Linked DNA regions of Macaca mulatta. The protein of the gene in region 3 purifies or fractionates together with the protein of the main gene of each other region. This does not show direct contact. Links are inferred from orthologs where the notes say so. Each region holds a gene or a part of one and is shown on either strand. Other genes may lie near its edges.

Evidence for each region.
Region 1: the proteins of LRRK2 (region 3) and SLC25A5 purify together in Homo sapiens (co-immunoprecipitation; 3 studies listed by IntAct, with this or other methods). This does not show direct contact. The link is inferred for Macaca mulatta from reciprocal best matches to the Homo sapiens genes LRRK2 and SLC25A5.
Region 2: the proteins of LRRK2 (region 3) and NCL purify together in Homo sapiens (co-immunoprecipitation; 3 studies listed by BioGRID and IntAct, with this or other methods). This does not show direct contact. The link is inferred for Macaca mulatta from reciprocal best matches to the Homo sapiens genes LRRK2 and NCL.

The regions. Positions count from the first base shown.
Region 1 is NC_133426.1:125,937,733-125,941,481, reverse strand, and holds the start of SLC25A5 (ADP/ATP translocase 2), read right to left. Parts: upstream 2,496-3,749; 5' UTR 2,430-2,495; coding exon 2,319-2,429; intron 1,290-2,318; coding exon 803-1,289; intron 581-802; coding exon 440-580; intron 52-439; coding exon 1-51.
Region 2 is NC_133417.1:136,712,853-136,716,501, forward strand, and holds the end of NCL (nucleolin), read right to left. Parts: intron 3,565-3,649; coding exon 3,407-3,564; intron 2,565-3,406; coding exon 2,441-2,564; intron 2,210-2,440; coding exon 2,076-2,209; intron 1,965-2,075; exon of another isoform or gene 1,885-1,964; intron 1,576-1,884; coding exon 1,449-1,575; intron 1,376-1,448; exon of another isoform or gene 1,239-1,375; intron 1,064-1,238; coding exon 840-1,063; intron 693-839; coding exon 616-692; 3' UTR 188-615; downstream 1-187. UniProt on the Homo sapiens protein: Nucleolin is the major nucleolar protein of growing eukaryotic cells. It is found associated with intranucleolar chromatin and pre-ribosomal particles. It induces chromatin decondensation by binding to histone H1.
Region 3 is NC_133416.1:47,171,112-47,174,760, forward strand, and holds part of LRRK2 (leucine-rich repeat serine/threonine-protein kinase 2), read left to right. Parts: intron 1-2,231; coding exon 2,232-2,482; intron 2,483-3,006; coding exon 3,007-3,155; intron 3,156-3,649. UniProt on the Homo sapiens protein: Serine/threonine-protein kinase which phosphorylates a broad range of proteins involved in multiple processes such as neuronal plasticity, innate immunity, autophagy, and vesicle trafficking.

The DNA.
Region 1 (3,749 bases), on a different chromosome or scaffold from region 3:
CACGAGCTATCTTCCTCCAGCAGTCAAGCGTGCCTGTGTACATGATGTCAGCTGCAAAGAATAAAGACAGAGTTGGTGACTGAAGGCCGATGAAAAATCCTAAGATTCACTAGGCTAAATAAAGCAGAGCCCTACCTCTAAGAACATCAGCTTTAAACCCAACATTCACACATTAGCATGGGCAACACTGAAATATTAATGCTGTGACCACAGGAATACACAGACTACCCACTGGTCTTAATCTCTAATACCAGTTAAGCACCCTCATTCATAGGCATCTGAAGGGCCGGATCAAAGGCAGCTGTGGAATAGACACAGATGCTATCAACCCCATCCCTTGACTTGGACAGCCAGCCATTTCTAAAGGTGGGCATCACTAGTTTGTGGCCGCAGCTTGCCCCACGCCTACAATTTTATCTTCTGCTCAAGGGGAACTTACTTCCTTTGCGCCCTGACTGCATCATCATGCGGCGGCGAACAGTATCAAATGGATAGGAAGTCAACCCAGCAACAGCAGTGACAGTCTGTGCGATCATCCAGCTGATGACGATGTGAGTGTTTTTGGGATCCGGAAGCATTCCTGGGAATAGGAAAGAGATGCTTTTACCAAAAAGTAGAGTTTTACTGACTTCCTTTCCCCACATCCCCTAAACATGTCATCTGTGCATGAGGGTCGCACTGGATGATCTTGGCTTCCTTCAGCAATTAAAAAAACTCTCTAGCTCTTGGAATGTTAGGTTGGTACAACGCTCTTTTAAATTGTCTCCTAAGAACACAACTTTAAAGCCCACAGCAAACTTACCCTTTGCAGTGTCATAGATACCGAAGTAGGCGGCTCGGTAGATGATAATACCCTGCACAGACACGTTAAAGCCTTGGTACAGGCCCTTAATCCCATCAGATTTGTAGATCTTAACCAGGCAGTCACCGAGGCCTCGGAATTCCCTTTCAGCTCCAGCTTTACCCACATCAGCTGCTAGACGGGTACGGGCAAAATCAAGAGGGTACACAAAACACAGGGATGTGGCCCCTGCGGCACCACCTGATGCCAGATTCCCTGCAAAGTAGCGCCAAAACTGGGTCCTCTTGTCCACACCACCTAGGAAGATCTGCTTGTATTTATCTTTGAAGGCGAAGTTAAGAGCCTGGGTGGGGAAGTATCTGATGACATTGGCCAGGTTACCGCGCCAGAAGGACAGAACTCCCTGCTCCTTGGGAATACGGACCACGCAGTCTATAATGCCTTTGTATTGCTTATCTGCAGTGATCTGCTTGCTGGCATGCTGCACCTAACAGACAGGAAGAAGCCAACAGGGACAGTTATAACCATGCGGAAGGGAAAGAGAAGGGCATATGCCATATGGATCAATACCCTTTAAGGCTGGCTCCCCTCTCCCAAATCTAGTCTTCGTATATCATACTGGCTGGAGCCTCCCAACCATATGAGGCTGTCACAGGGGAAGAGGTGATCGGCACCAGAGGTATTAAGCCTCCACCCCTCTGAGTGGGGAGGGGGCATCCTCCAGCGGACTCGTGACCTTTAAACCTGAGATAAAGGTCATTACCTCAAACCCAGGTTCAGAGGCATTAGGGCGAGTCCCACATAGGGCGCGGTCACCTTGGGGACCGCAGCCTACGCCTCCGGTCTCCTGAGCTGCTTCCGTCTCGCTCCGCCCCCACTCCGCTTCCAGAGGTGACCCGAGCGCCGCCGCCGGCACCCCTACACGCTCGCCCAGGGGCGCCCTCTAGAGCCAGCACTGGAGAGCGCGCGGCGCAGGGAGGCAGGCGGAGGGGACACGGCGGCCGCGGCTGCGCGGAGGCGGACGTAAAAGGAACACGCGCTTCCCGGCGCCGGCTTCCGGCCCGGCGAGGTTTGAGCGCGTCCGCGGGCTGGGAGGCCGCCGGACCCGGGCGCATGGCCTTCCCCGGGCAGTTATCTCCTTGCCGCGACCTTGAGGTCTTCGTTAAGAACTGGCGTTCCTCTTTCTAACGCCGGCTTTCGGCCTTCGCCCTTGACGCCCAGGCCCGGGGAGGCCGTCACTCAGGGACTGCTCCATCCGAGTCGGCCGCCTCGGGGATGCCGAGAGCCTGGTCCTGCTCTCCGCCCCTGGCCCCTTTCTAGACTCACAACTTCAGGTCACTAAAGGCGCCTCCCACCAGTTTGCCTTCTGCTCTGCCTCTGCGCCCGGCTCTGGCCTCTCCTAGCCGCTTCCCTGGCCATGTCTTTGGAGTTCGCTCCCCGCCACCCCTCGGGCGCCCGCCTTCTGTGCGACCCTCCCCCCCACTTCCTGGTTGGGCTCCTGGATCCCAGGACGTACCTGCAGCAGCAGCTTGACCCGCTCGATAGGCGCTACCGCCGTCTTGGAGATGGCTGCGGCCACTCCACCTGCCAGGAAGTCCTTGGCGAAGGACACAGCGGCATCTGTCATGTTGAAAGGAAAGAGGCGGCAGGCTGCTGCGGGACGGGACTGGGCCGGGAACCGGCTTTGACTCCGGCGCTGCGGGGCGGAGCGAAGCAAATGGCCGATTTATATAGGGGGAGCCGGCGCCGGAGCGGCAGGCGTCGGAGGCGGGGCCGGGGCGGGGTCTGGGCCCCGGCGCGCTGGGCGGCAGAGCAGCTGAGTGGCCCAGCGCGCAGGGGGAGGAGTCGTGGAGGGCTGGCCGGGACCGCTCTCCGCGCCGCCCGGGCTCGCCCTCGGCACCTGACCCGGCAGGAGGAAGGGGCGGGTCCAGAGGACACCCGGGACTTGAACGCTGAACCCTGACAGAGGCCTCGGAGTGGGTAGGAACGGTGAGGTCACGGTGTGCCTGGACAAAAACCCTTGGAGCAGAACTAGGGTGAGACGCATTTGTTACAGGGATGCCAAAAGAACCCTTCAGTCATCGAGATAAACGATACTTTAAAAAAGTCGTATGGGCAAACATCCTGCTGGCCGGCCCCCTTGTTTTGTAAATAAAGTTTAATTGAAGTGTCAAGGCTGAATTCAGGGTGAGGCAAGCGAGACAAAGTCATGCAAGTGCAGGTTGGGATCCTGTCTGTATTTCAAATGCTGATCATTTGTTCATCATGAATTTTTGCATTGCTTTTGATTTTTTTTTAAATAGTGCATTAAAAATCATTTGTCTTAATTACTGAGTTGTGTTTCACCAAGGTGAGTGCCTCACTCTTCCCACCCTAGGCCGGGCACTGTCCTGGAGCCAGTGAAACCAGACGAAATTAAGGGAACAACAGACGAAGGAACTGCCACCGTGCCCCAGACCCTGGTTTGCAAATACAGTTCAACAAAGACCTTGCCAGGAATTGGCTTGGGAGAGTCCAAAGGACTGGGCTGGGGGTGGGGAAATGATTTTAGCCAGAAGGTAAATATAGAGGTTGTACCCAGAAGGTTAAGAGGCTTAGGAAGGTTAAGAACTACGTTGACATTTGGCTTCCAGGACCCCAGGTAAAGTGCCCTTGGATCGAATAGATTTCTGAACTCCAGAAACATTTAGAGGAATCAGTAGAATTAGATTGGCAGCCATTGCGCCAATGGACAAGTGCTTACTGAGCCCCTTAATCCCTTCACTGGGTAAGCATTTGCCACACATGTCCTCAAAAACCTACTTGTTCGCTTAAGTGGACTCCCTCAGGTTCAGAACAGGAGCAGAGAGTGTAATCACAAATTCCGTGTCTGAATAATCATAACAATGTTTATAAAAATAAGGATGACTGTTGAAAACGGCAACTGCGGCTGAACCTTATGTGCCCA
Region 2 (3,649 bases), on a different chromosome or scaffold from region 3:
TTCATCAGCATCAGGGCTGCAGGAGCGGGTCCCCTCACCAGCATTTCAACCAAGTTGGGGGCTGGGATACTGGAAACGCACGCACTACGCCATTTCCATTGGGATGGGTGAAGTGAGTGGCAGAGCTGGCTTTGCCATGCTCTCCAGTGACATTCCAGTGGAAACACTCTTTAGGAAGTAACACGTCTGGCACCAGAGTTGACTTTTAATTTGTCCTAAAGCCGCTGAAGCAAAAACCATAAAACATTCTGCTTTCTTTTCTTTTACAACCCCACGAACGCAAAAAAAAAAAAATAATAACAAAAGAAACAACAACAAAACCCAAACTATTTGTAGGAAAAAATGGTTTTGTACATGGGATGAAACAATATAAATTCAAAACTTACAGATAAGGGTTAGCTCTATCACTCAACTCTTTAAAAAGTTTATATGAATATCCAGTCAAAACCAACACGGTATTGCCCTTGAAATGTTAACTAGACGGATTTCCAAGGAGACCACAGGACTGTATATTGTCTTGGAATGTCCTCAGAAGGCTCTGTCATTGATCAGGTAACAGTAAAAACCCCAGAGTCCTTTCTTTCAAATGGAAAAGGGAAAGCCGAGGGACAGAAGCTATTCAAACTTCGTCTTCTTTCCTTGTGGCTTGTGGTCACCTCCTCCTCCTCTGCCTCCTCGGAAGCCGCCTCGCCCTACAGGGGGAAGGCAAGACACTGTTAAAAGAATAGGTACAAAGTTCCTCCTCCCAGTGATTAGGAACCGTGACAAGGCACGGTCTAAAGAGCATATGCTACGTGGTGTCCAGTAGACATTGAAGTCATTATCCCTGTGTGCCTTACCTCCAAAGCCTCCCCGGCCTCTGCCACCAAATCCTCCTCGGCCTCCTCTGCCACCACCTCGTCCTCCAAAGCCGCCTCTGCCTCCACCACGACCCCCAAAGCCACCTTCACCCTTAGGTTTGGCCCAGTCCAAGGTAACTTTATTTCCATCAATTTCACCATCTTCCATGGCCTCCTTGGCAGCTTTGGCATCCTCCTCACTGTTGAAGTCTACAAAACCAAACCTAGAACACCAAATGAAATTGCCCATTATAAAAAGCACCTACTGCACATGTCCCAAGTTAACGGCACACACTGGGGAGCCATCCCACAGAAAGTAGCCTTGTTTAGTTTGGAAAATATACCAGTGACAGAGTAGCTCTCTATGGAAAACTAACTGGTGTGACAGCTTGAACCCCAGAATGTCTCACAAAACAGCTAAATATACCTCTGTAAAGACAGAAGGTAAAATAATGCTAGTGCTGTGAATTCTCTCTTCTTCTCGTGCGAATCCATAAACTGCCACTGATAGACAGAAAGGAGCTCAATGAGAAGACACCTTAGACTCAAGGTCTCCACCGAACAAAAACCCCTTCAAGTGAAAGCAGCACTCATGCTTTCTTCCCTTACCCTTTGGAGGACCCAGTTTCCCGGTCAGTGACTATCCTTGCCCGAACAGAGCCGTCAAATGACTCCTTTAATGTCTCTTCAGTGGTATCCTCAGACAGGCCTTTGACAAACAGAGTTTTGGATGGCTCTGGGGAAGAAAAAAAATTGTGACTTTATGTGAAGTCACAGTTCGTAGTAACACTGAATTTGCACAATGCCTGGTATGACTACTGGCCAAGAATGCTTGTCTTAGTGGAAAAGCAGTGAAAAGCAACTAAGCCAACTAGTCCTTAATTAAAGTAAGGCTATTCTGAGTTTACATTTTTTAAACTGCCACTGCATAGTTGATATTCTGCCCCACATCTTCTATGGAAAGTGGGAGAAGAACCCAAGCAGGTGCTGCCCACTGGATGGGGCAGGAAATCATGGGCAAACTTGCTGCTCTGAGTTGACACAGCTGGATCAGAACTTGACTATCTAGAGGAATCTTCTTGAGATTTCATCAATTATTTCTCAGGTAATCAGTCATCATATCCAGTTATTGTTCACTCAGTAGCAACAGGAAACACAGAATTTGTGCAAAAAATAAACACCAAAAGCACTGAGAGTGCTACCCCCAACCACAGCATCCTATCCAGGTGAACTTACGGCTTCTGGCATTAGGTGATCCCCTGGGTCCTTGCAACTCCAGCCTGATTGCTCTGCCCTCAATTTCCCTTTTATTACAGGAATTTAAAGCTTCTTTAGCATCTTCGAATGAAGCAAACTCTATAAATGCATACCTGAGGATGAACAGTTAATGCTTAGAGTAAGTTACCAAGCACGTGCTCCTTCACTGTCACAAGATGCTGCCAAGCCTTCTCTCAAGTTGGTACCTAAATGACGCTCTTTTACACTCATTTACGTAGCTAAAATTATTTGGCTTTTCTGACAGGATCACATGACCTTACGTTCCTTTAGACCTGTAAGACATATATAGCCTGTAACTGATATAAAGGTATTAATTATCTTACCCTTTAGATTTGCCATTTTGGTTCTGGGGTACTTTGATAAAAGTTGCTTTCTCAAATACTTCCTGAAGAGTTTCTTCTGTTGCACTGTAGGAGAGGTTGCTTAAAACCAGAGTTTTTGATTCACCTGCAAATAGAGATGCCACATTCCTAAGACTCTGAAACAGTGGTTCCCAGCTTCGGTCAGAGCAGTAATATTTTATTCCTAAGCATTTCAGTGCTTGAAAGAGTTAACACACAAATACTGATGATGTAAGTGAAATCCACTTTTGTTACTCAACATATTAAGTACTTAGTACATGTTGCAATGTTCTGGTGGTGGTTCTTTATGTATAGGCTGACTACTGGCCTGTTTTCCTAGAACAATAATCTGAGTTCAAAACACACATAGTCGGCCGGGCACGGTGGCTCAAGCCTGTAATCCCAGCACTTTGGGAGGCCGAGATGGGCGGATCATGAGGTCAGGAGATCGAGACCATCCTGGCTAACACGGTGAAACCCCGTCTCTACTAAAAAATACAAAAAACTAGCCGGGTGAGGTGGCGGGCGCCTGTAGTCCCAGCTACTCGGGAGGCTGAGGCAGGAGAATGGCGTAAGCCCAGGAGGCAGAGCTTGCAGTAAGCTGAGATCCGGCCACTGCACTCCAGCCCGGGCCACAGAGCGAGACTGTTTCAAAAAAAAAAAAAAAACACACACACACACATAGTCGAAGTCATTTAAAGTATAAAACATACCTACAAAAAGGAAGCTTGATTTGCCTACTGTATTCCAATGCAAAATGATTTTACAGCTCTCATTCAAGATTGGAAATTACTATTCCAAATAAGAGTATAACTTAGGGTATAATGTCCTTGATCTTCACCTACATTTAAGTAACTTTGATTAAAAAGTATAAACTTATGAAGTACAAAGACACAAAGGAGTTCCCTCCATCAATTCTGGAACCCAGTAACAAGCCTAATTTCTTACCACTCCAAGTGCTATTCTTTCCACCTCTATAGTCTTGATTTTGACCTTTCTCTCCGGTATAGTACAGGGAAATAGATCGCCCATCAATCTCTGTTCCCTGCTTTTCCTCAAAGGTTTTCTCTGCATCAGCTTCTGTCTTAAATTCAATATAAGCAATCCTGCAATGGAGGGAGAAGAACTCATGGTTTTTAAAATCACATTAACACAAATGCTTTTATACCTCAGCAACACAGAACTTGCTTC
Region 3 (3,649 bases):
AAATTGTTAAATTAAATTCTCAAGGCTGGGCGTGGTGACTCATGCCTATAATCCCAGCACTTTGGAGGCTGAGGCAGGCGGATTTGTCTGAGTTCAAGAGTTCAAGACCAGCGTAAACAACAGCAAAATCTTGTCTCTACCAAAAATACAAAAAATTAGCCATGTGTGGTGGGGTGCACCTGTGGTCCCAGCTACTGGGTGCTGAGGTAGGAGAATTGCCTGATCCTGGGAGGCAGAGGTTGCAGTGAGCCAAGATTGCACCACTGTACTCCAGCCTGGGCAACACAGTGAGACCCTATCTCAAAAAAAAAAAAAAAGTCTTGTTGCAAATGCATTTCCCCCTTTTTAAGTCTAAAAAATTATCATAATTTTGAGATGTTTTAAAGGCAATATTACATAAATTTTAAGTATATTTAAGGGGTGTTTTTCTCTGTAAAGTTTTTATATCTGGAGACAGAGAGAAGAAAGAAAGGTGACCCACTCCTCCAGCCATGCTGTAATGTCTAAAATGTGTCTTTCTCTCTTCACCTCTTTGCCTTGCTAAATACTTCAAGTCACCCAGGGCTCAATTTAAATGTCACTTCATCACTCTCTGCTTCTCTTCCTTTTTCCTTCTACCCTCCAGCCAACCTGGCCACCTAACCTCCATTTCCATAACACATGATGCTTTCCCTCTAATTCTCATTCAGTCATCCAATTTGATTTAAAGTACCTTTGCCTTCACTAAACTGTGAACTCCTTGAGGACAGGACTTGTTTCAGGCTTGTTTCTGTCTATTCCCAGTGCCTAGTGAGACCTGACATATGGTAGAAGTTTAGTAGATACTTACTGAATTGATTTGTGGAGGCATTAATGCCTGAAACTTGGTAATACTTCAATTAATATTTGTTAAATGAGCAAGTGAAATAATTCAGAGATTTAGTCTAGTTAAAACAAAGAGAATTGGAAGGCTGGGCACGGTGGCGCAAGCCTGTAATCCCAGCACTTTGGGAGGCTGAGACGGGCGGATCACAAGGTCAGGAGATCGAGACCATCCTGGCTAACACGGTGAAACCCCGTCTCTACTAAAAAATAGAAAAAACTAGCCGGGCGAGGTGGTGGGCGCCTGTAGTCCCAGCAACTCGGGAGGCTGAGGCAGGAGAATGGCGTGAACCCGGGAGGCAGAGCTTGCAGTGAGCCGAGATTGCGCCACTGCACTCCAGCCTGGGCGACAGAGCGAGACTCTGTCTCAAAAAAAAAAAAAAAAAAGAGAATTGGAAGAGATGGTGATAAGGTGAGACATGCTGGCATTCAATGACTGGACAAGCTCAGAATCTTCTCTTAGGGAAATTTCAAAATGACACCATTAGATGGTACTTTGTTTGTTTGTTTGTTATTGTCAAAGAGTCTCAACTATGTTCCTTTTTATAAGAAAATTTTCTGATTAAACCCTGGGAATAATTTTAAAATCTTTACTTTGGAATAAGTTAATAAGGGTCTGAAACAAAGGCAGGAATTTTGAAACAACTTCTGAGGCAAAGAGTCATTAATAAGCCTCTATAATCATACCAAAGTCTAGAATTTCTTGTGTGGATAAATATACTGATATATAAAGAAGAACATAGAGAAGTGATTGTTTTTGGCATTTGAGCTCTTTAAGAGTATTACATAACAAAGTTGTAAAAAGTCGACGTAATATGTAAGTAGGGGTTTGCTGTTATCATTGTAAAATTATAAACTGCTTAAAAATGGAAAGTAGAAATTTGAAACAAAAAGTTTCATAAAAAAGAGGAGGTTCTAAAATGAAACACATATTGTATGTAACTATTTTTATGGTTAAATCTTATATATATCAAAATATGTAACAATTTCTGACAGCATTTAAAACATATTCCCAGGATTATGTTGTGCTTTTTCTTAAATCATTAATTCAAATATATGTTGAGGCCTATTCTGCTTCCATTTTGCTCTTTCTGGAAATAATTTACAAAAAAGCTGAAGGAAGCTTTCAACTCTATTTTCATGAACCTGCTTTTTACAGTCTACCGTTGTAATTTTGCTGGTTTTACCCATGCTATAAGCAGAGGTGATTGGGCTAATCAGTATACTGAAATTCTGTTGTGGATTGTGTTTTCAACTTTTTGAAAATTCTTGATGGTTCTAGTTACCAGAGGTGTGTAAGGCAGAAATATTAGCTAGACTTAAGTTCCTCAGATGGTCCACTTTAGAATTTTAAACTCTTGTCTTTTCAGACTCTGAAGAGTTTGACACATTTGGACTTGCACAGTAATAAATTTACATCATTTCCTTCTTACTTGTTGAAAATGAGTTGTGTTGCTAACCTTGATGTCTCTCGAAATGACATTGGACCCTCAGTGGTTTTAGATCCTGCAGTGAAATGTCCAACTCTGAAACAGTTTAACCTGTCATATAACCAGCTGTCTTCTGTTCCTGAGAACCTTGCTGATGTGATAGAGAAACTGGAGCAGCTCATTTTAGAAGGGTAAGAAAGAGCTCATTAAAAATAAAAGGACTGCCTAAATATGCTGATGTTAACAAAATACGCTGACATTTGTATAGTCATGAGTTTTGACAACATGGTGAAACTCCATCTCTACTAAAAATACAAAAATTATCCGGGGTTGTTGGTGCGCGCCTGTAATCCCACCTACTCAGAGGCTGAGGCATGAGAATCGCTTGAACCCAAGAGGCGGAGGTCGCAGTGAGCCAAGATCGCGCCATTGCACTCCAGCCTGGGTGACAGAGGCGAGACTCTGTCTCAAAAAAAAAATATATATATATAAAATATATATTTATTATAATGTATAAGTATTATTATATATAATAAAAACTGAGACAATGAATATTACAACTTTTATCAATGACTTACATTTTCACAACTAATTTTTAAATTAATGAGTCCTCTTCGATGCTATTCTTCAAAAGCAAATTGTTTTTGGTATTTTTTCTTTAAAGCATATGAATGAATTTATGCAGTTTAATCATTATCTTGTCTCTTGTGACTAGAAATAAAATATCAGGGATATGCTCCCCCTTGAGACTGAAGGAACTGAAGATTTTAAACCTTAGTAAAAACCACATTTCATCCCTATCAGAGAACTTTCTTGAGGCTTGTCCTAAAGTGGAGAGTTTCAGTGCCAGAATGAATTTTCTTGGTAAGTGTTCTGTGTGGGTCTCCTCCTTACCAGGCCCTCTAAGTTGTACAAGATGAGTCACATATGGACCCTTTAGGTGGGGATTGAAAGGTGGCATTTCAGTTTAAATATTATGCTGGATTTAAAAAATAAAGTTAGCAGGTTGGCAATAAAAGAAAATGCTATCAAACTATGAAAATAAATGAAAGAAATGTAAATGCATATTGCTAAGTGAAAGAGGCCAATCTGAAAAGGCTACATACTATTCGTTCCCAACTATAAGACATTCTGGAAGAGACACAATTATGAGGACATTAAAAAGATCAATGGTTGTCAGGGGTTAGGGGAGGGAGAGATGAATAGGTAAAGCACAGAGGATTTTTAGGGCAGTGAAACTGTTTTGTATACTACAGTGGGGGATACGTGCCATTGTTCACTTGTCAAAACCCATAGAATGTACAGTACAAAGAATGAACCCTGATGTAAACTATGGACTTTGAGTGATAATGAAGTGT